Linked DNA regions of Arabidopsis thaliana. The protein of the gene in region 1 interacts with the protein of each later gene in a pairwise test. Each region holds a gene or a part of one and is shown in the gene's direction. Other genes may lie near its edges.

Region 1 (5,082 bases):
TTTTAAATATAAGTTTCTCTTACAAATTTGTGACTCTTAAATGTGGATGAGATTCGAGAAAAAGAGAGATTATTCCACTTACAGAAATGAAATGAAAAACGTTGGTCACGACGAGACCGTCAATCACGTCGACGCCGTGAATCCAGCCGAGAGACGCGTTTCGTTCTTTAGCCTTTTTCTGTCTTTCTTGTTTTGGTAAATAATAAGACGAAAAATATGAAACCAAAAAAATGAAGAAATTTATATGTCTAACGACTCTTTTCTTTGACTATAATCATCTTTTCTTTTTAGGTCCCAACCATTTCTTCTTGTATTATCTATCACATATCATCAGATCCAAAATCAACTTGATTAACTTCCTTACTGAATTAGATGTAATCAACGAACAACTTGGAATTATCTTAATCAATTCGTGTTGTTAGTTTGCATTTCTCTACTAATAATTGTCTACATAGATACTAACTTACCAAGTATCAAAGGATCCTAAGAAGTCCAAAATGATATCTCATTAGAAGTCAATTAATCCATATAATTAAGATTTTTAGTAAGAAATACATAGATGAACAATGATGTTAACATGTAAAGTTGCCTCAAAAAACATTCTCCTCCAATACCTTATATGAAATCAAATTAAGAATCATTTGAGAGCTTGGTTACACAATTTAAGTTTTTTCTTTACTTTGCTTTAGAATAAAAACAGTCTCATCCAGCTCCTGATAAGAGGTTTTAATATGCCTCTATGTTATTAACCAGCGTAAGTCCACAACTGATTTCAGTGGCTTATCATGATTCATGGATAGAGTTTGAGGGAGATTTTGGGACTTAGGAGACTGCTATACGCATAAGTTGTAGCACATATGGCTCAGTCTCTCATCATCCGTGTTGAAAACATACAATGGTCAGCACCTATTATGGATCGGGCCTATATGAAAAAAAAAAAAAAAAAAAAAAGCAACAGTTCTGGAGAGTTTCCATCATTCAATGTGTAAACTAATTTTCTTAAACATCTTGTTAATTTTCCTAAGATCTGAAGCATTAATGGGATTTCATATAGGCTTCAAAGGCTATATAAATTTTCCTATAGCCCAACTAAATATATTATCATATTGGGCTCACTTACTTGGAGTCTTGGACGGTTTAACAAGTTTGTACTATTGTTTATTATTCACAGCCTATTAACATAATTTAATCCTAATGCTATATTAATTAAATAGATTATATTCAATTAATTAGTTATACAGCAAACACAGGAGCTTTCTGTCCACATGCACGACCACCATGCATAGTCCCTTCTTTACGGTCTATATTCATTTGACCTCTTCATCTATATAATTTCATTTATTCCCCTAAGATTATTATACCAAAGTGAATAGAAAAAAAAAGAAACCGTCTATGCGTTTAGTTTTTCCCCAAATTGCTATAACTTAAATCATATAGATTTGTAGAGAAAATATCAGAAGAATACGAAAATTAAAAGTATGAGTAATTTTTTTATTAGCTGAAAAACGAGAATGCGAGAATTTTTATAAAGACAACTTTTTGTTTCGACCTTTTTTTTCTTCTTCCGCACGTGTTCCCTAATTCACCTAACTACAAGTCTACAAAGTACAAAACCCACTCACCATCCACACGTTACGATTTTGTCGTAAAGTATATACGATTATTCATTTTCTTTTTCTATTTGTCAAACGTGAATATTGTTTTTATTGTATTAAAAAGAATTATTTAGTTTTCAATTTTTGGTTGCTTCAAGAAAATACTCACTAACAATAACATACCAAAAATATTATCTTCCAATATCGTTTTATTAGAAAAGCGTCGAAATTGATACCTTAATTTTGTATGATATCAAGTAGTGAATCACATTTCTTAATACACAAATTAGCATAACGTTGCAAAAGAAAAAAAAAATTAGGAAGGAGAAAAAGAAAATGTATTCTTACAAAAACATTAACGTTGTTATACTACAACAAAGAAAATAATTATTTTTCTAGTTTGAAATACTTTTGAAAATCAACGTTGTTATTAACTTTTATATATTTATTTATTATTAATTTTCACAAAAAGTTGTTATTAAGGAGAAAAGTGTGTTGTTGTTTTATTTTATTTTATTTTTTAATCCAGGGAATAAATAATTTAACTATAACCACTTTAAGAAAATGTGACAGAGCCACCAAAAAGAGCATAAAAAGTAAAATTAAAATAATAATTATGATTTTGTATTAAAAGAAAGAAAGAAAAAAAAAGGAGAGGAGAAGAAGCAGTGGAGAGAGAGCATGTGAATAAAAAGCGTGAAGCTTTTTGATATCTCTTTCTCTTCCTCTTCCTTTCTCCTCCGATAGATTTCGCCGGCGATGGCGGTGGACTCCTTAGAAACGGAGATTGACACGGCGGTGCGTGTTGTCCACCTCGCTTCTTCTCTCTGTGTTAAAGTTCAAGAGAAGCTTCATCTTCCTAACGGTGGTCACGTTAAGTCTAAAGACGATGATTCCCCTGTCACCGTCGCTGGTTCGATTTCTCTGTTTCTCTGTTTTGTGTTCTGTTTTTTTCTAATTGTAATTTTGAGATCTGTTTGTGTTAAATAAAAAAAAAACGAATTTTTGATGTTGGATTGTGTAATCGAATAATCATGTTCTTTAATTCGTTGATAGATGAAACAAAATGTGTATTAAAATACAAAAGTTTGCAACTTTTCATCACTTCCAATGATTCTCTGTATTAGTAGTTCAATAGTGTATCAAAGTTTTAAACTTTTGTTGATTCACTTGACAGATTTTGGTGTACAAGCAATTGTGAGCTGGGTTTTAGCTGAAGTGTTTGGTGATCAAAACCTTTCAATTGTTGCTGAAGAAGACACTGAGACACTCTCTGAGGCTGATTCTTTAGGTCTTTTAGGAGCTGTGTCGAATGCGGTTAATGAAGCATTGTCCGAAGCTCAGAACTACGGGCTTCCGAAGCCAGTTAAGCCATTGGGGTCTAGTGAAATTCTTAAGGCTATTAGTAGATGTAACTCTGTTGGAGGACCTAAAGGAAGGCATTGGGTTCTTGATCCTGTTGATGGAACGTTAGGGTTTGTTCGTGGGGATCAGTATGCTGTTGCTTTAGCTTTGATAGAGAATGGTAAAGTTCTTTTGGGTGTACTAGGATGTCCTAATTATCCGGTTAAGAAAGAATGTTTAAGTAATGGTTGTAACCAAGCTATGAAGACGAAAGCTGTTGCTGGTTCAGTATCGAAAGGATGTGTTATGTATGCAAAGAGAGGTAGTGGTCAAGCTTGGATGCAACCTTTGATCGTTGGAGGAATACCAGAATCTGCAACACTTCTTAAGGTTTCTTCAGTTGATGATCCGGTTTTAGCTACAGTTTGTGAGCCAGTAGAGAGAGCAAACTCAAACCACTTGTTCACTGCAGGACTTGCCAATAGCATGGGAGTTAGGTAAATGTTGTTTATTCACTCTCTTATTCAAATGTTACGTTATTGACCAAAAGTTTTTTGCTCTGCAGAAAGCAGCCTATGCGAGTGTATAGCATGGTGAAATATGCAGCGATTGCACGTGGAGACGCTGAAGTGTTTATGAAGTTTGCACAGTCAAGTTACAAAGAGAAGATATGGGATCACGCAGCTGGAGTTGTTATTGTGGAAGAAGCTGGTGGTGTGGTGACTGATGCGGGAGGGAGAAACTTAGACTTCTCGAAAGGTGTTTACTTGGAAGGTCTTGACCGTGGAATCATCGCATGTTCTGGTCAAGTTTTACATGAGAAGATTATAGGTGCTGTTTATGCTAGTTGGGAATCTTCCAGTCTCTGAAAAAGCTTATCCACAATCCGTAGTTTGGTGCAGCATCATCGAGCCAAAGCAAAGGTAAAGAAGATAACAAATTGTCCTCTTCAAGATTGTAATCATATTTGTAGATTACTGCATAAGCTAGTGGTTTTTAATCGGTTTATTTGTTCCGGTTTAGGAGGAACAAGGGCCATTACGGTTTAGGATGAGCAAGGGCCAGTTTCAATGAATGTGAATGGCGGAGAAGTAAATATAGTCGAGGAAGCAGCGGTAAAAGTAAGAATCTAGTTTATTTACCTATCTAAGAGTAATAAAGCTGCTGCATTTCACGAACCCTTATGTTCTATGATCTTTAATGGATGATATCATTTTTAATCTTCGTCCTGTAATAATTCACCTTCAAAACGCGGATTATACATGTCGTTTTCCTGACAAAAGACAAAAATTAGTAAATTACTGAATAGGCTCTAACTTACTCCATGCTATTTCAATGGTTAACGACCCAAATTGTCTCTCAAATTTAAAGATTCAACTAGAAATTGCCGATAATATTGGTCCAGTTTTGGGCTAATAAATTTTGTTTATTGGGCCGACTCGATGACCATTTTAAAGAGGACTCAATAGATTTTTATTGATACGAAAATATTATTAAATCAGACCGAATTAAAATGCCTTGAACTCCGGTTTAGCCGACATGTTTGGCACCCTAATGAGAATAGCTTAGTTAGTTTTGTGTTAGTCTAAAGATTAAAAGTAAAAAGTTTGATTCTGCCGACAATTTCTTAGATTTGGTGCTATTTAAAAGATTTCCCTCTTCAATTTTATCGAATTCCAACCTTCAAATAGGCTTTTCCATACATTTATTGAAGAATTTATCATTATCAGTCACAATTATGTGTCTTCATCTTTATACGTACATAATTACTAGTAATAATTAAATTCTACTACTAATAGAGGACGGCCAAAGTGTCAGTAATGATGCATGAATGGTTAGTTGATAAACATCTCTTTCTTATGAATTCAATTTTTCAATTTTTTTTTTTTTTTTTTATATTTATTTCGTATACTTGTATTTTGTTGAATATTATTAATACATAGCTACATAAAATGTGATAAAAGATTAGGTAAAGTAACAATTGGTAAGAAAATATCACAAAGAAGCAAATGACAAGGATAGTCTCATAAGTCATAATCAATACAGTTTACCTATGTCAAAAAAAGAGTCTCATATACAGTACCTATAATGTTAAAAAATTAAAATACTTAAACCTTTTCTCTCTTTTTTTTTGGTCAACAAA
Region 2 (5,241 bases), about 12 Mb from region 1:
CAAAGCGGCCTGAAAACGTAGGGAAACTCATTGTGGTAAGCTTAGTCTTTGACTTAAGAGTGACCATAAGCTTTGAAGTAACCGAAATCAAACCTGGTTTATTAAATATCGCGATCATTGTATGGTTTGTAGGTTATTTTTCCTAGTGGAGGAGAACGTTATTTATCGACTGAATTGTTCGAGTCAGTCAGATATGAAGCTGAGAATTTGCCAGTTGAATGAGTAGTAGTAACGTAGGATTCAATAAGAGATGTTGGTACCAAGGTTACATTTTGATTATTGTAGGTCATTGTAAAATCAATAAGAGTTACATATTCCTTGATGATCAATTATAAGTTGTTCATTAACTAATTTTGATATAATCCGATCGCTAGACCGTCACAATCAAACGTTAAATCTTACTCATTGTTAATGGTCGGTTTTGGCCCATGAACATAATAAGCCCAAACCAAGCCCAGTAAGTGATAGAAAAGATCTGGAGTGTTCCATCGACCAAAGGAAGAGGGCAAAGAGGACAGATGTACTGTGCAGAGTGGAAAAAGTGGTAAAGACTTACAAGCATAAAAAGGAAACCCTAAAAGGACAGGTCCTATAAGTACAAGAATGGAAAGGAATGAAAGGAAATGCGCAATTCCCGCTGACACAGAGAAAGGACAGCAGTACAACCATTGACCTCGCCTCGTCTTCAAGACCTCACCTCGTCTTCAAGACCTCGCCTCGTCTTCAAGACCTCACCTCGTCTTCAAGACTTCGCCTCATCTTCAAGACCTCACCTCGTCTCCAAGACCTCGCCTTGTCTACACATCGCCGATCTCATCCTGTTTCGATCATTCCGTCACAATACCACGTCCCTTAGTCAAGAAATTCTCGTCTAGTCATCGGCCTGTTAACCGAGACGGATTCTTTAACTCTTCCTAGAGAAACATCGTACTTGTGTGATCCCTACATCAACACTCATGACTCTTGTTTGTAATTGAATTGAAAATTAGATACAAACACATTAACTAGAGCTTGTTTTGATACAGAGCTTTTAGCTAACTCTGTTAACTCACTAACGGTCTTCAATAAATCCGGAACCGAATCCGGTTTAATCCCTAATTCATGTGTACCGAGTCTTCTTCAATAAACACATACCACAACCCTCCGCACAAACGAGAGACTCTTCTATGTTTATAGTTTTTGATTATTTGTTTTCTTCGGACCTAACATTTCAAAAACATGTTGTTTTTTTTTTTGAATACCAGAAGGTTTTGTACCGAACTTCATAATCTTTCCAGGCCCGAAACCACAACATGTAATATTAGTTTCGTCCCAAGTGTCACTCGAACCGGCGACCTCTAAATTTCACCTAGGATAATTATCAATTGAGCTAACTACACTTGGTCAAGAACATGTTTAAGTGTGTTTCTACAAAAAAGAAAATTTAAACAGTTGTCCAAAGAAAAAAGAAGCAAAAATCTCCAAAAATCATTGATCAAAATGTTCAGCACCATTCACCAATTGGGCATTGCCAAGCTTGAAGGCGGCCAATCAAAACTGTATTCCCAAGACTGTCTAAGTAGTTCTGTTTTTTTCATTCTTTTTATTCTTAATGTTACATCTTTTGTAAAACAGTTTTTTGTTGAATATAATTTTACATTCATACAAAAAAAAAAACTTTTCTGCAATTTCAAGTAATTTGGGCAACCAATGCAAGCAAATTGTGTCACTAACTTACTATAACGACACATTGTATTCTATAAAATGAAAAAGCATGTGGTTATGAAAATTTGATTTGTGTTAAGAAAATCATGTGGTTAAAAAATTGATCTGTGACCACTTAGGTGTAATATTATTCGATCGTTCGGATAAGTAACACATGATTAGTACTAGAGAAAAGGACAATATAATGCTCTTAAACATTTTAATAATAGTGTTAAATGTTTATCTGCAGATTTTGTTTTAATAACAAAATACAACTATTGGATGCTCTCATTACGCAATATGACAAAAACTCTTTAGATGTCAAATTTTTAACATTATTATACAAGAATGATGACATAAACTCGTCTTCATACTTCAACATCGTTCAGTGTGCACCACATGCAAAGTAGGGTAGTCTCTATATATCCTAATCTAGAATACAGCCTTGTCTTCTTCACTAATAATTCGTTTAAACGCAAAGGTACGACTTTTTTTTTTTTGTTCTTGTTCGTTCTGATTTAGTCTTACTATCATTTCTTGATTTTGGTATCAAATTTATCTAGTTTTCACTGTTCTTTACTAAATTTTTATTTTGTCTCTTATCTACTTTAGAGTTTAGAAGTTCCATATTAAAAATTTTAGTTATGAAACAATATAACCAAAAAATTGCCAAGATTGTTCTTGAATCTTACTTGTGCATTGTAAATAGAGTCTGTTAGCAAACTTTGACCATTGAGTATTTTGTGCTTTGTGTCTAGATTCTTGAATCTTATTCTATGGTTATTGGACTTCATAAATCCATTTTGTTCTTTAGTAGTTGGTACCCAAATATTGATTTTTCAATAGTTTCAGAAAACAGACCAACATGGAAGATCGGTGCTTGATCAAGAACGATATCACTGAAGTAATAATCTCTAATTTCTTATATATGTATCACTTTGCTTTTTTATGATACAAAGAACATGTCTAAAATCTTTTTCTATGTTTGTGCAGTTGATTGGTAACACACCAATGGTGTATCTGAACAATGTTGTTGATGGTTGCGTGGCTCGTATCGCTGCGAAGCTTGAGATGATGGAGCCTTGTTCTAGCGTCAAAGACAGAATCGCGTATAGTATGATCAAAGATGCAGAAGACAAAGGATTGATTACTCCCGGAAAGGTTAATATGAACATTTAAAGTTATCATAAAAGTTTCTCCATAATTTATAAAGAATACATAGATGGAATTTAATTGTTTTTGATTATAGAGTACATTGATAGAGCCAACTGCTGGTAACACCGGGATTGGTTTAGCTTGCATGGGAGCTGCAAGAGGCTATAAAGTGATCCTTGTGATGCCTTCAACTATGAGCTTAGAGAGAAGAATCATTCTGAGGGCACTAGGTGCAGAGCTTCATCTCTCGGACCAGCGCATAGGCCTTAAAGGAATGTTGGAGAAAACTGAAGCGATTTTAAGCAAAACTCCTGGTGGTTACATTCCACAACAATTTGAAAATCCTGCAAACCCCGAGGTTGATAAAATAATATCATGCATCCAACACAATTATGTATATGCTTTTAGTCTCTCTATGTCTTCATTGAACACAAGTTTGTATCTTGCAGATTCATTACCGAACCACGGGACCGGAAATATGGAGAGATTCAGCCGGGAAAGTAGATATATTGGTCGCTGGCGTAGGGACTGGTGGAACTGCTACTGGAGTAGGGAAGTTCCTCAAGGAGCAGAACAAAGACATCAAGGTACAAAAACTTTCACTAACGCTTAAAAACAACCAAAAACTCGGTTTTTAATAACTCGGTTACAATCTTGATCTTATAGGTTTGTGTGGTGGAACCAGTAGAAAGTCCGGTACTTAGCGGAGGTCAACCAGGTCAGAAAATGAACATTTGATAGATCTTATGCAACATATAGTATTGATTTGTTGTTTTGTATGAGATTTAATGTACATATATATAGTGACAACATTAACATACGCGCCAAGTTATCTATAAGATCATCGTTCTTTTGTCCGAGTTCTTGCATTTCTAATTATAATATCGGTTTATGGGACTTCATATTTGTAGGTCCACATTTGATTCAGGGAATTGGCTCTGGTATCGTCCCATTCAATTTGGACTTAACCATTGTTGATGAAATTATTCAAGTAAGTAGCCTGATATGATCTACTTCTTGATCTTGAACAAATAATCTAAGATCTGGAATCTTTTGATTTAGGTGGCAGGTGAAGAGGCTATTGAAACAGCCAAGCTTCTTGCCCTCAAAGAAGGATTACTGGTACAATAGGTTAACTTCTTTTTGTCGGTATAAACCCAAAATTTTGGCAGAAAAAAAGGAGAAGTTTCTGATAAATGAGATAATTCATTTGGCAGGTGGGAATATCCTCTGGAGCCGCAGCAGCGGCTGCGTTAAAGGTTGCAAAGCGGCCAGAAAACGCGGGGAAACTCATTGTGGTAAGCTTTTTCACTAACTGCTTACCTATAAGCTTTGTGTTCACTGAAAACATACCAAGTTTGTTGAATATCTCGGTTAATGTCCGGTTTTCAGGTGGTTTTTCCTAGTGGAGGAGAACGTTATTTATCGACTAAACTGTTCGATTCGATTAGATATGAAGCAGAGAATTTGCCTATTGAATGAATGTTGGACGTGTGCCGGTTTCGTGTGTAATAAGAGACGTTCGTTCCAAGAGTCCAAGATTTCAATTTGCTTATTACTGGTCAATGTGAAATGTATAAAAAGTTGCATATTCGATTATGAATAATTTTAGTTGACTACTTCCATTGCAATTCTTGGTCGAAAACATGAATTTTAATAAAACAGAATAATCTACATGAACGTTTCATTGACTCTTTTGCCTTTTGGTTTGATCTGTGTTCATGCATTTCAGTTATAATAATTTGTTTTCGTCTACTATTTTGACCTCATATTATTGGATTTACCAAAACCAAATCAAAGTAGAACTCTCTCTACTTTGTTTCAGCCACTTACAGCCAACGCCAACAATTACTCAACCAAATGCATTCTCCTCTATGTCTTTTATTTTTGCTGTCTAGATTTATTATTAATCGCAAATCATGAAACTGTGATATAGACGATTCTACCACGAACAATTCCTTCTGATCTTATTATATCCACGACAGACGACACCTCCTTCTCTTTCTCCATACTCTTGATGGACACCTTCAATATCTTCACTGCGTAGAATCCTGAGGAACGGCTATAATTGTATATCGTTGGAGATTTCCTGCACACTTGTCTCCATTAGCACACTTGTCTCCATTAATCTACAAATATGCTAATAAATCGTAGTAGGTGGGACTCGAACCCCAAACCTCTTGATGTAGAAGCATTAATGAACCTTTAGTCAATCATTGGGCCAAGCGGACTTCCACAATTCTCCTCTATGTCTTCAAATCTTTTTTTGTTTATTTGTATCATTTACGAAAAAACCTCCATAGTTCATAGTAAGAGAGTTATAACATTTAACAAAAATAAATATATATTATATAGTTTCCTTATTAATTATTAATAATCACACCATACTTTGAAAAGTATTCA
Region 3 (5,359 bases), on another chromosome or scaffold:
ATGAGAGGCCATTTGACAGATAAAGCCGACGTCTACAGTTTTGGCGTTGTGGCCCTAGAAATCGTTCACGGAAAGAGCAACACGAGCTCACGATCTAAAGCTGATACCTTCTACCTTCTTGACTGGGTAAATCATCACTTCACACCTCAAAAAGCCTAAAACCTAAACCTAAACCCCTTAAACCCTAAATTATGGATCTGAATCTCAATTTCTTTCGCAGGTGCACGTTTTAAGGGAACAAAACACTCTACTTGAAGTAGTAGATCCAAGGCTAGGAACAGATTACAACAAACAAGAAGCATTGATGATGATTCAGATAGGGATGCTCTGTACCAGTCCAGCTCCAGGGGATAGACCTTCGATGTCGACGGTGGTGAGTATGCTCGAAGGCCATTCAACGGTGAATGTTGAGAAACTTCTTGAAGCTTCGGTCAACAATGAAAAGGACGAAGAGAGTGTGAGAGCGATGAAAAGGCATTACGCCACGATAGGTGAGGAGGAGATAACGAACACGACAACTACCGATGGACCTTTCACGTCGTCTTCTACGTCAACCGCCAACGCCAACGATCTTTACCCTGTTAAGCTCGACTCTGCCTATTGGAACACTAGAACTTAATTAAGGATAACGTTTTTGCCAAAAAGAAAGAAAATTATGGAGTTATGTTATTATGACGTTTTGTATTTTGCTTTTTGTAAAGTTTTTTTATTTATGATTATTCTATTTAAGACAATTGGAAGATTACGTTACATGAAACAGAAAATGAGAATATTTATCTTAAGAGAATCAAAAGGTCCAAAACAATTTAGATGAGATAATATTTTGTTGTTAGGTTCTTTTAACTTCTTTTTTATTTGTTTGACGTATGATTTGGCTTTTACTTTCTTAAATGAAATCATATTGTGATTTACAAAATTTCATACAAAGGCGAAAATTAAATTTCACTCGGCTTATTTGGACACTAGAGCTTTACTATGATCTAGAATTGTAATGCAGAACCCCCTTGAAATTGCAACGATAAAATAAAAAAATATATGACTATAGGATTCCGTAACTTCTAGAAATTTTTATTTAAGATTTGTGAATATGATTTCTTTTTAAAAACATTTTCAAAAATTTTTAAATTATTTTGAAATATTAATTGCACCGATAACGGCATTATTGTCCCCTTAATATGATTGTTTAGTCAACCATCCTATTAATAATTTAATACGTTTCATGAAACCAGAATAATTATGTTAGATTATATAAGTGCTACCGAATAAATTGTTGGTCTGTTAACATCTGTTTCCATGGACAATAATTTGGCTTGTAATAGTTTAAAGTTTAATAGGTTTATCTATATTGTCGTTTAGAAAATTACAATTAAATTATAAGGAATGAATGATTAAATATGAATTTATAGGTCCTCAAGCTTTTCACGGGGCAGCACCGGCAAATGAAAATCCTTTTAAATAGACCAAACAAAAAGAAAACTCTTCACAGAATCTTTATGGTCCGAACAAATCGAGTTATTTCAAGGAAAACAAAATTTTAAGCATGATCTCGAAGTAAATGGTATAAATAAATATCGACCTTGTAACCGACATTTTGCAAATTTGAAGGTGAACAAAAACAAAAAAGATCGTGAAGTTGTAATTGGTAAACATAAATATCGTACTTAAATCATTTCATTTAAGTTGTTGACCATATGTAAATTACATTACTTGGATTTCAAAATCCAAAATCATGGAAATCAATGTTAGTAAACTACGTCATTAAATAGTAATGATTTGAGTTTTACTGACTTTTTAATTTATATAATTTGATGATTTTAGGGAAGTTGATGTGATTTATTGTAAATTTATTCAAATTTTATCTAAAACTATAAGATTTGGATTTTTATATATTTAACTAAAGAAGTCTTCTCAAATAATTCAGAATTAAAAAGAATCAAATCCACAAACTGTTTTCAATAAGAGTGAATTTTAAGATAGATTTTTAAATCATTAGTTCAATAACACTAGATTTTATTAGAGTTTTTAAAATTTATGATTGAATAGCATATGATTTATAAATTTTACACAAATCATTGAAAATATTAGATTGAATACACTCTCTAAATGCACACAGAAATGTTGAGATTTTTTTTTGTTGGTCAAAGAAATGTTGAGATTTGTTTTCAAGATTTATTGCCAAAAATCTATAGTTCACAACTTCACATATTTGACTGATAAAAACTTATCTTCCTTCTCTTTATTATGACAAATGTGACTTATATATATATTTTATATATAGATGCGTGGGTGTATAAAAACCAGCTGCGTATTTGAATATCTCTCTCTCTCTTGTCTGTGTTGAAATGGGTTCAAAGGATAACGCCATTTCTAATGACTCTGCATTAGTTTTATCGCTTCTTCTTCTTCTTCTTCTTCCCCTGCTTCACGAAGCAGCAGAAGGATGTGACATGTTCACGGGGCGGTGGGTGAAGGACGATTCTTACCCTCTCTACAATTCCTCCACGTGTCCGTTCATAAGACATGAGTTCTCTTGCCAGAGAAATGGACGGCCAGATCTCGATTACTCTACCTTCAGATGGCAGCCTCTTTCCTGCAAATTAGCAAGGTATCATCCATTCTTTATTTATTACATACATTTTTATCTTTTCAAACTTTTTTTTTTGGGTGTCTAGCTATTGAACCAAGGTATCGTTATAGATATGACTATTTTTATTTTTTTACTTTTGATTCATGATTTTGTTTTAATATATTCGTCGGTTTTTATTTGTTGAAATATGACATTACATTAGCGTTATAGGAGGACCACAATTTTTTGATTTGAAAGATAAACGCAATAATAATTCAGCAGTGTGAAGAAATCTTGATTTGGTTCATATAATTACTTTTCAAGAAAGTTGAAAATGTTTAGAGATATTGTTTTTGTGTTTGTAAAATAAAGCACTTTTGAGTGAGCAACCAATGAGAAAAGAGAATGCTATTTATATAGTTGTTTGCTATAATTGAATGGTGTTTAGAATCTCCAAAATTGCACGAGATGAAAACGAACTTTTTTTGTCACAATATATGCCAAGTGGTGGATCCGGCGTGAGTTACACGCGCCGCCATTGAGATTAGGACAGCCACCAAACTCTTCCTCATAAGAAGACATAAATTCCCCCACACTTGTGGGGACAGTAACTCAAATCTTTCGACGGTTCTGTCCTCCTGTTTCTTAAGTTAATTTCAATGCATGCCACCGACATAAAACGCCACCGTTTATATTGTTTGTTCTAGGTTCAATGGATTGCAGTTTTTGAAGAAAAACAAAGGGAAGAAGATTATGTTTGTTGGTGATTCTCTTAGTCTAAATCAATGGCAATCGTTGGCATGTATGCTTCATTCCTCTGTTCCAAATTCTACGTATACTTTAACCACACAAGGTAGTATATCAACCTACACATTCAAGGTAGTTGTTATTACCAAATCTACACTTGTTTTGGTCAAGTTGAATAGAAAACCGGGATGAACTAAACCGGAGTGGTGAAAATTGCAGGAGTATGGACTGGAATTGAAGCTTGATAGGAATGTTTATCTAGTAGATATAGTTAGGGAGAAGATTGGGAGAGTTTTGAAGCTTGATTCGATCAATGATGGAAAAAATTGGGTAGAGATGGATACATTGATTTTTAATACTTGGCATTGGTGGAGTCGGAGAGGTCCTGCACAACCGTACGTTCAAGTAACTCTGAATTAATATGCTTTGTTTTTGGCTTAATTACATGCAATGTTCAAAGTTTGGATTTGTTTTGTTAATTTTGGCAGATGGGATTTGATTCAAATAGGGACTAACGTTACAAAAGACATGGACCGTGTGGCCGCGTTTGAAATTGCGCTTGGGACTTGGGGGAAATGGGTCGATACCGTCTTAAATACTAAGAAAACTAGAGTCTTTTTTCAAGGAATTTCTCCATCTCATTACAAGTAAGTTGATTTTGTTGATTAAAAAGATGATCAACTAAAGAAACTTGTATTTAAAAAGTTGGCTTTGTTGTTTACCAGAGGAGTTCTGTGGGGCGAACCAGCGGCAAAGAGTTGCGTGGGACAGAAGGAACCACTTTTGGGGACAAAATATCCAGGAGGATTGCCAGCAGAAGTGGGAGTTTTGAAGAGAGCACTCGGGAAAATATCGAAACCGGTGACATTGCTAGACATTACGATGCTTTCGTTGCTTCGCAAAGATGCTCATCCTTCGGTTTACGGTCTAGGCGGGCGAAACTCCTCCGGTGACTGCAGCCACTGGTGTCTCTCTGGGGTACCGGATACTTGGAATGAGATTCTTTACAATTATATGGTTGAGTAAAAGAAATAAAATACGGAAACATCAATTATAGCATTTGTTATTGTGATTGATCATTTAAATCTGAATAAAAGGTCCGTTTCTGAATTTTGTAATCATACATAGGTTATTAGAATTAAAGAAATCGAATGATCAAGAAAAATAATTAATCTAAACCCTACCTCCGTGTAGTGTAAGTGAACACAATATGAAACTGTATAGATCAAAACTTCTATAGCTAATTCATTTAGTAAGGTCGTTTTTCAACTGATCGATAGTTTGTCAACAAAGCACATTCCAATTATTAAAGTTTCAACCAAATCTCTACAATAATTCTATAAAAATGGAACTGAATGAAGTCAAGTTATTATCAAATTCGATCTTAAAAAATCATATTCGTATGAATGAAGTCAAGTTATTATCAAATTCGATCTTAAAAAATCATATTCGTATTCGTACTCTCTTTATCTCCATGCCAAACACATAGATTTTACTCTGTTCTATCATGAGCACCTAATATTTTTGTAATGAATGTATCATGAGTTGAACAAAAGGGTCCTTAGCTCAGTGGTAGAGCATTTGACTGCAGATCAAGAGGTCACCGGTTCGAACCCGGTAGGGCCCTTCATTTTTTTTTCCTTTTTTTTTTTTTGACTAAGATTCTTTACAATTATATATACTTTCTTAGGACCATGGTTAGCAAGGAACCTATCTCTAGCAGCCAAAGATCTATATATAGCAAGCAAGAATGTGTTAATAGCAAGTTAGTAACGAAGAGCCTGTTCTTGTGATCGTATAAGTTCATAATACATCAGATTTTCAGTCATGATTCATCAATCCTTCGTTACAAGAAAAGCCTTTAACCTCTTTTTCATCATCTGTGTAATAAGATTTTCTTAGTAACTAACAAAAAGAAAACATAAGGAATCTCCTCAAACCAAGGACAAAAGAAAGGGCACAACATACTCAGAAAAGGGTTCTAATGAGTATGTGATTTTACTTTCTAGAATCGAAATGGAGTTTCAGGTCCATACTTGCTGCTCC
Region 4 (5,441 bases), on another chromosome or scaffold:
TGTAGCAGACGGAGGAGAATCTGATACCGACGAGGATTTGCGCGACAACGATGATGTTGTTATGCCGGGAACGAACGAAGCTGAAGCTGAAGACGACGATCCCGAAGAGGAAGATCTCAATTCTCCGTCTACATCATCACTCCCCATGGTTTCTACGATCTCAGCGACTGCTGTTGTTTCCGGGACCCCGACGGCGACTTCCTCTACAGGCGCCGTGACCGTTGCACTTCCGGCTGGATCCGCCGTCCCTGTCTCCGTGATTCCCGTTGATTCCGATCCGAAGTGGCACCGTATGACGGAGATCGTCCATCAGAGACCACCGATCGATGATTCTAGACGCCTTTTCCAGAGGCTGTGGACAGACGAAGACGAGATCGAGCTTCTTCGTGGTTTTCTCGATTACATGACGATGCACCGCGGAAGCAGCTCGCATCCGCCGGATACGGCGCCGTTTTATGAGCAGATAAAGTCGAAACTTCAGCTGGATTTCAACAAGAACCAGCTGGTGGAGAAGCTTCGGAGATTGAAGAAGAAGTACAGGAATGTGATGAGCAAGATCAGCTCTGGTAAAGAGGTATTCTTCAAGAGCCCTCATGATCAGTCTACTTTCGAGATTTCTAGAAAAATCTGGAACCAAACTGGGAAAATCATAGGCTTTGAAGATAACAACGTAATGGATTTCGAAGAAACCAATAACCATCATAACACCACCAATGGTAACTACTCAACCTTTAACAGCCCTAGTTCTAATCCTACTCTGGAGCTCGACTCCGAAAATGGAATCGAGAAGAAATTGACAATGAGTAGCAGTAGCGTGTCGAGAAAACGATCACGATCAAGAATTGGGAAGATTGAGGAAGACAACAAACCTGTCATCACTCCCTCTGATGGGCCAATAGCTAGCAATGTCAACCTCAACGAAGCTGCAGCTGTTGGTATTGGAGGAAATCTCGGGGGTTTGATCGAAGAGACTGTGAAAAACTGTGTCTCTCCTGTGATCAAAGAGATGATGAATGGGACAACAAGTATGATGATGGCTGCAATGGGAGGAGGGTTTCCGGGTCTTGGTGGTGGTGGTGGTGGTGGTGGTGGTCATGGTTTTGGCTCGCTAAGCCCCATGTTTACACGGCCGTTCAATTTCGGTTTTGGTGTAGAGGGAGGAGGAAACAAGGCGGTTGCAGATGAGCGGTGGAGGAAACAACAGATTCTGGAATTGGAAGTGTATTCAAGGAGATTAGAGTTGGTTCAAGAGCAGATTAGAACGACATTGAACGAGTTAAAGACGATGCCGAGTGGTATATGATGAAGGGCGAGAAGAATAAGACAACAAGGAACCATTTAGGTTGATATTTGATATCTTTGAGTTAACCTTCTGGTGTGTGAGTGAGTATAGTAAGAGATTTGGATCTTTTTAAGTTATAAATTGGTAAGGTATTGTGATCTTTCTCTAGGTTTTTTCATCATTTTGATTTTTTTTTCTTCTTCTTATCTTTAAATTATTTGTCAATAGGGATGAATCATAGGAGGGGGGTTTGTGTATAACCTTTTGTATTAGATTATAGTTCTTTTTTCGTAGAATCATTTGTTCAATAACAAACAGACTTTCTAGCTGTTTTTCTTTCAAAAAGAAGAAAAATAATAATTCTAAATTGTGTGCTACTCTTTCTTTGTCTAATAAAATCTGTAATAACATGTTTATTTCTAGATCGGATACTGTTATTGAAGTGTATTAAACTTTGACCTCTTTCTTTATCATGTTGATTAATGTAGTTACTTAAAAACTTTTGTGTTTGAAAAAAAGAACCAATGTTGTGTTTCTTGCTAGTACGCATCAGAAGATTCCTTTCCTGATTAAGTAAAAAAAAAAAGGCATAATCAAAACAATTTAAAGATTCAAGAAGGCAGAAACTTGTCCACGTGACGAGGCAAAGAATGTTAGGTAGGTTTGTTATTGACTTTATAGTTTATACAATGATTTTAACAAAATACCTATGGAAGATACATGATTATTTTTTATAAATGTATAAACGAGTGGATATATTTGGTGGTGGATGATGGTGTGTGTGTATATGCAAATAATTCACTTTATAAAAGCTTATCGCTAATTTGACAGAACACTAGAACAGTTCTCTCTTTTTGTCGACAGTCTTCTTCTTCTTCTTCTTCTTCGATTGGATCTGGAACTGGTAAGCTCTTCTATAAGTCTCTGGTTTTGTATCTTTCGAACTGTTCTTTTGTTTCTCTCTCCAAAAATTTCAAACTTTCATAATTTCGCCTCCTCAAGTTCGATTTCAGCTCAAGAACACGAATGCTTCACTCACTTGTTTCATTGTTAAATCTTATATTTAGTTTGATACTCATGTTTTCTGCTGTTCGATTTTTTTTTTTCTCTGATTTATATTCGAGTTTGAACTTAAATCATGGTTTTGGTTTCACTTTACAATTTTGGATCTCATGCAGTTTCAAAACACTCTTCGATTTATATGAATGTTTTATATTATTAGGGACATTGCTTGCAGACTGTGTCTTAAATCTTTTTGATTTTCTTGTGATCTTCAGAACTCAAATTGGGAAGAATTTTGACATGGAGGAGGACCGGTGTTCGATCAAGGATGATGCAACTCAAGTAATCATAATCTTTCAGTTGTCTTTTTTAATCAACTGCTTCACTGGAATAAAGTTCTAGTTCCTTTGCTCAAGTAAAATGTACTTAGTTCCTTGCATACTGTGTCAGTTGATAGGTAACACCCCAATGGTATATCTGAACAACATTGTGGATGGTTGTGTAGCTCGTATTGCAGCTAAGCTTGAAATGATGGAGCCTTGCTCTAGTGTCAAGGAGCGGTATATATACAAATAACCCTCTCTCTATCTCTTTTGTCTGCTCCAAGCAATGTTTGTTCTTTTGTGTGTGTTTCTGAGAAATATCTTGTTTCTTTTGATTGATCCTTCGCTTGCTAGAATTGCTTATGGTATGATTAAAGATGCAGAAGACAAGGGATTGATTACTCCTGGGAAGGTAGATCAGATTATATCATACATTCGTGTTTTTTCGTTTTCGCCATTAAAAATCAAACTGATACTTGGATCCTGGTGGTTTTACTCAGAGCACACTGATTGAGGCTACCTCTGGTAACACCGGGATTGGTTTAGCCTTCATCGGTGCAGCTAAAGGTTACAAAGTGGTCCTCACAATGCCCTCATCAATGAGCCTTGAGAGAAAAATCATTCTTTTAGCATTAGGTGCGGAGGTTCACCTCACAGATCCTAGTAAAGGCGTTCAAGGAATAATCGACAAAGCTGAAGAGATATGTAGCAAAAATCCAGATAGTATCATGCTAGAACAGTTCAAAAATCCTTCAAACCCGCAAGTATGGACTCTCCTTTCACATTACATTTGCTCTTCTTCTCTCTCTATCTATATTTATCAATCTAAATTGATTATTCTGCAGACTCATTATCGAACCACGGGTCCAGAGATATGGAGAGACTCTGCAGGGGAAGTAGACATATTGGTTGCCGGTGTTGGAACTGGTGGAACGCTTTCCGGATCAGGAAGATTCCTCAAGGAGAAGAATAAAGACTTTAAGGTAGAGAAACTTTTATTGAAGTCCAACCATAGTAGTTATAGATTTGGCTTTTCAAGCACTTCTCTTATCAACAGGTTTATGGTGTGGAACCTACAGAAAGTGCGGTAATAAGTGGAGGCAAACCGGGTGAGTTCAAATCTTGTTCTTGAGTCTAACATAAGTAAACATCATTCGAGGAGTTTCTTGCTGCTAAATCACTTTCTTGATCACATAACGGATACTGGTTTCCTGTTTGTAGGTACACATTTGATCCAAGGTATTGGGGCTGGACTCATCCCAGACAATTTGGATTTCAACGTTCTTGATGAAGTCATCCAAGTAATGTAGCTGAGGTTTTATCGGTGTTGTCTTTGTAAACGCGATGAGATGTCAGAGAAATCGTACTGAGATGTTGGTAATCTCCAATTCTTTTTTCAGGTGACAAGTGTGGAAGCAATTGAAACAGCCAAACTTCTTGCCCTGAAAGAAGGATTACTGGTAGAATCACTGGTTTAATTGGTTTTAACATTTTTATGTTCGTTTAAGCCATAAAACCAACATTTCTATGTCTGGCAGGTGGGAATATCTTCTGGAGCTGCTGCAGCCGCTGCGATAAAGGTGGCAAAGCGGCCAGAAAACGCCGGCAAACTCATAGTTGTAAGTAAAAAAACAGAATCATAACGTGTAGCAGATAATTTGCCATTTCACTGAGGTTTTAAAGAAAATGAATCGGTTACTGTCTGTTTTGTTTAGGTGATTTTCCCTAGCGGTGGGGAACGTTACCTATCGACCTCATTGTTCGAATCAGTCAGACATGAAGCAGAGAATTTGCCAATTCAATGAGGCTTTTACACGACCTGACTTGGTTCGTTTTGGTGAAAAAGTACCAAGATTTCGGTTCGACATTTACACTGTCATAGTTTCATGAACTTTAAGATTTCAGATGATGTATGATCTCTAATCTCTAGCCTCTAAGGTGGACTGTCCTTTGACATTCTATTGGTGGTTTTTTTCTAGCTAATATATGTGTAAGTCTGTAAAACTTTTGTTGACAATGAATCTAGAACTATATAATGGCCATGTAGGATTTCAACCCATGTTACTAGTAGTAGACAATTTGGCTAGAGGATTGTGGAAGAGGAAAAAGATCAGAGGACAAGAGACTATAAACAAACACATCATAGGTTTCACCTTTGAGACAAGTCTACTTCCTGAGCAAACCCTCTCTTTGAAACCCAAGCTTCTCAACAACTCTTTGGGACACTTAGTTTTGAGTTTGAACAAAAGCCTGAAGCCTCAAAACATGAGGCAAGTCATTGAACACTTGTGATACTGCACCTTAACTAGACTTATAAGTTGCTTAGAAAAAACATTGCTTAGCAACCAAAGAATTTGTGATTCCATCTCTAATATTCCTTCTTCATCGTCTTAACTCCTATAATAAAATCTTATATGTATAAAAAATAGTAAATGATAAAAGAAAAAGAAGGGAAATGATTTAGTTAATTATGTCTTGATCATTAATAGATTCAATGGATTAAAGATAACAATAGTTTTGGTCTTTTGGAGATAGAGATCGAGCTTAACAATCAAACCCACACCAGCATGTAGGATAAAAGAACTCAGGATGTTGTTTTGAAGGAGGAGATGGGTAATAACATGTTCCATTGCCTTTGTAGTCAGCCATGCACTTCTCTTTGCATTTCTCGTCTCCTTCACAAATCCATGAATTACTACACTTTTTTGCTTCTCCTATCATGATCCCGTTTTCTATATAATAACACAAACACAAGTTTATCAATATAAAAGAAGTGGAACCATTTTGTTATCTTTTTTCTCAGTTCCGAGTTCCAACCAAGGACACAACAAAAT

The links.
Region 2: the proteins of HL (region 1) and CYSD2 interact in a two-hybrid assay, tested with the Arabidopsis thaliana proteins (one large-scale study listed by BioGRID).
Region 3: the proteins of HL (region 1) and TBL41 interact in a protein complementation assay, tested with the Arabidopsis thaliana proteins (one large-scale study listed by BioGRID).
Region 4: the proteins of HL (region 1) and CYSD1 interact in a two-hybrid assay, tested with the Arabidopsis thaliana proteins (one large-scale study listed by BioGRID).

Annotation. Positions count from the first base shown.
Region 1 is NC_003076.8:22,083,779-22,088,860, forward strand, and holds HL (HAL2-like protein), read left to right. Parts: upstream 1-2,219; 5' UTR 2,220-2,354; coding exon 2,355-2,508; intron 2,509-2,772; coding exon 2,773-3,436; intron 3,437-3,504; coding exon 3,505-3,808; 3' UTR 3,809-3,862; intron 3,863-3,962; 3' UTR 3,963-4,316; downstream 4,317-5,082. UniProt on the Arabidopsis thaliana protein: Phosphatase that converts adenosine 3'-phosphate 5'-phosphosulfate (PAPS) to adenosine 5'-phosphosulfate (APS) and 3'-phosphoadenosine 5'-phosphate (3'-PAP) to AMP. May regulate the flux of sulfur in the sulfur-activation pathway by converting PAPS to APS.
Region 2 is NC_003076.8:10,025,474-10,030,714, reverse strand, and holds CYSD2 (cysteine synthase D2), read left to right. Parts: upstream 1-1,992; 5' UTR 1,993-2,164; intron 2,165-2,179; exon of another isoform or gene 2,180-2,535; 5' UTR 2,536-2,548; coding exon 2,549-2,587; intron 2,588-2,676; coding exon 2,677-2,844; intron 2,845-2,846; exon of another isoform or gene 2,847-2,932; coding exon 2,933-3,196; intron 3,197-3,287; coding exon 3,288-3,425; intron 3,426-3,504; coding exon 3,505-3,556; intron 3,557-3,749; coding exon 3,750-3,829; intron 3,830-3,900; coding exon 3,901-3,960; intron 3,961-4,055; coding exon 4,056-4,136; intron 4,137-4,230; coding exon 4,231-4,320; 3' UTR 4,321-4,528; downstream 4,529-5,241. Other genes in the region: DES1 (L-cysteine desulfhydrase 1), read left to right, coding at 1-35, 133-222.
Region 3 is NC_003074.8:4,993,273-4,998,631, forward strand, and holds TBL41 (TRICHOME BIREFRINGENCE-LIKE 41), read left to right. Parts: upstream 1-2,153; 5' UTR 2,154-2,342; coding exon 2,343-2,605; intron 2,606-2,668; exon of another isoform or gene 2,669-3,273; coding exon 3,274-3,445; intron 3,446-3,532; coding exon 3,533-3,708; intron 3,709-3,801; coding exon 3,802-3,960; intron 3,961-4,038; coding exon 4,039-4,339; 3' UTR 4,340-4,513; downstream 4,514-5,359. Other genes in the region: AT3G14840 (Leucine-rich repeat transmembrane protein kinase), read left to right, coding at 1-126, 221-619; AT3G14860 (NHL domain-containing protein), read right to left, coding at 5,319-5,359. UniProt on the Arabidopsis thaliana protein: May act as a bridging protein that binds pectin and other cell wall polysaccharides. Probably involved in maintaining esterification of pectins. May be involved in the specific O-acetylation of cell wall polymers.
Region 4 is NC_003074.8:1,363,097-1,368,537, forward strand, and holds CYSD1 (cysteine synthase D1), read left to right. Parts: upstream 1-1,993; 5' UTR 1,994-2,186; intron 2,187-2,381; exon of another isoform or gene 2,382-2,559; 5' UTR 2,560-2,584; coding exon 2,585-2,626; intron 2,627-2,734; coding exon 2,735-2,844; intron 2,845-2,961; coding exon 2,962-3,019; intron 3,020-3,107; coding exon 3,108-3,371; intron 3,372-3,452; coding exon 3,453-3,590; intron 3,591-3,664; coding exon 3,665-3,716; intron 3,717-3,828; coding exon 3,829-3,908; intron 3,909-4,007; coding exon 4,008-4,067; intron 4,068-4,145; coding exon 4,146-4,226; intron 4,227-4,322; coding exon 4,323-4,412; 3' UTR 4,413-4,748; downstream 4,749-5,441. Other genes in the region: AT3G04930 (DNA-binding storekeeper protein-related transcriptional regulator), read left to right, coding at 1-1,303; LCR41 (low-molecular-weight cysteine-rich 41), read right to left, coding at 5,152-5,339. UniProt on the Arabidopsis thaliana protein: Acts as a cysteine synthase. The cysteine synthesis reaction is more efficient than the cyanoalanine synthase activity.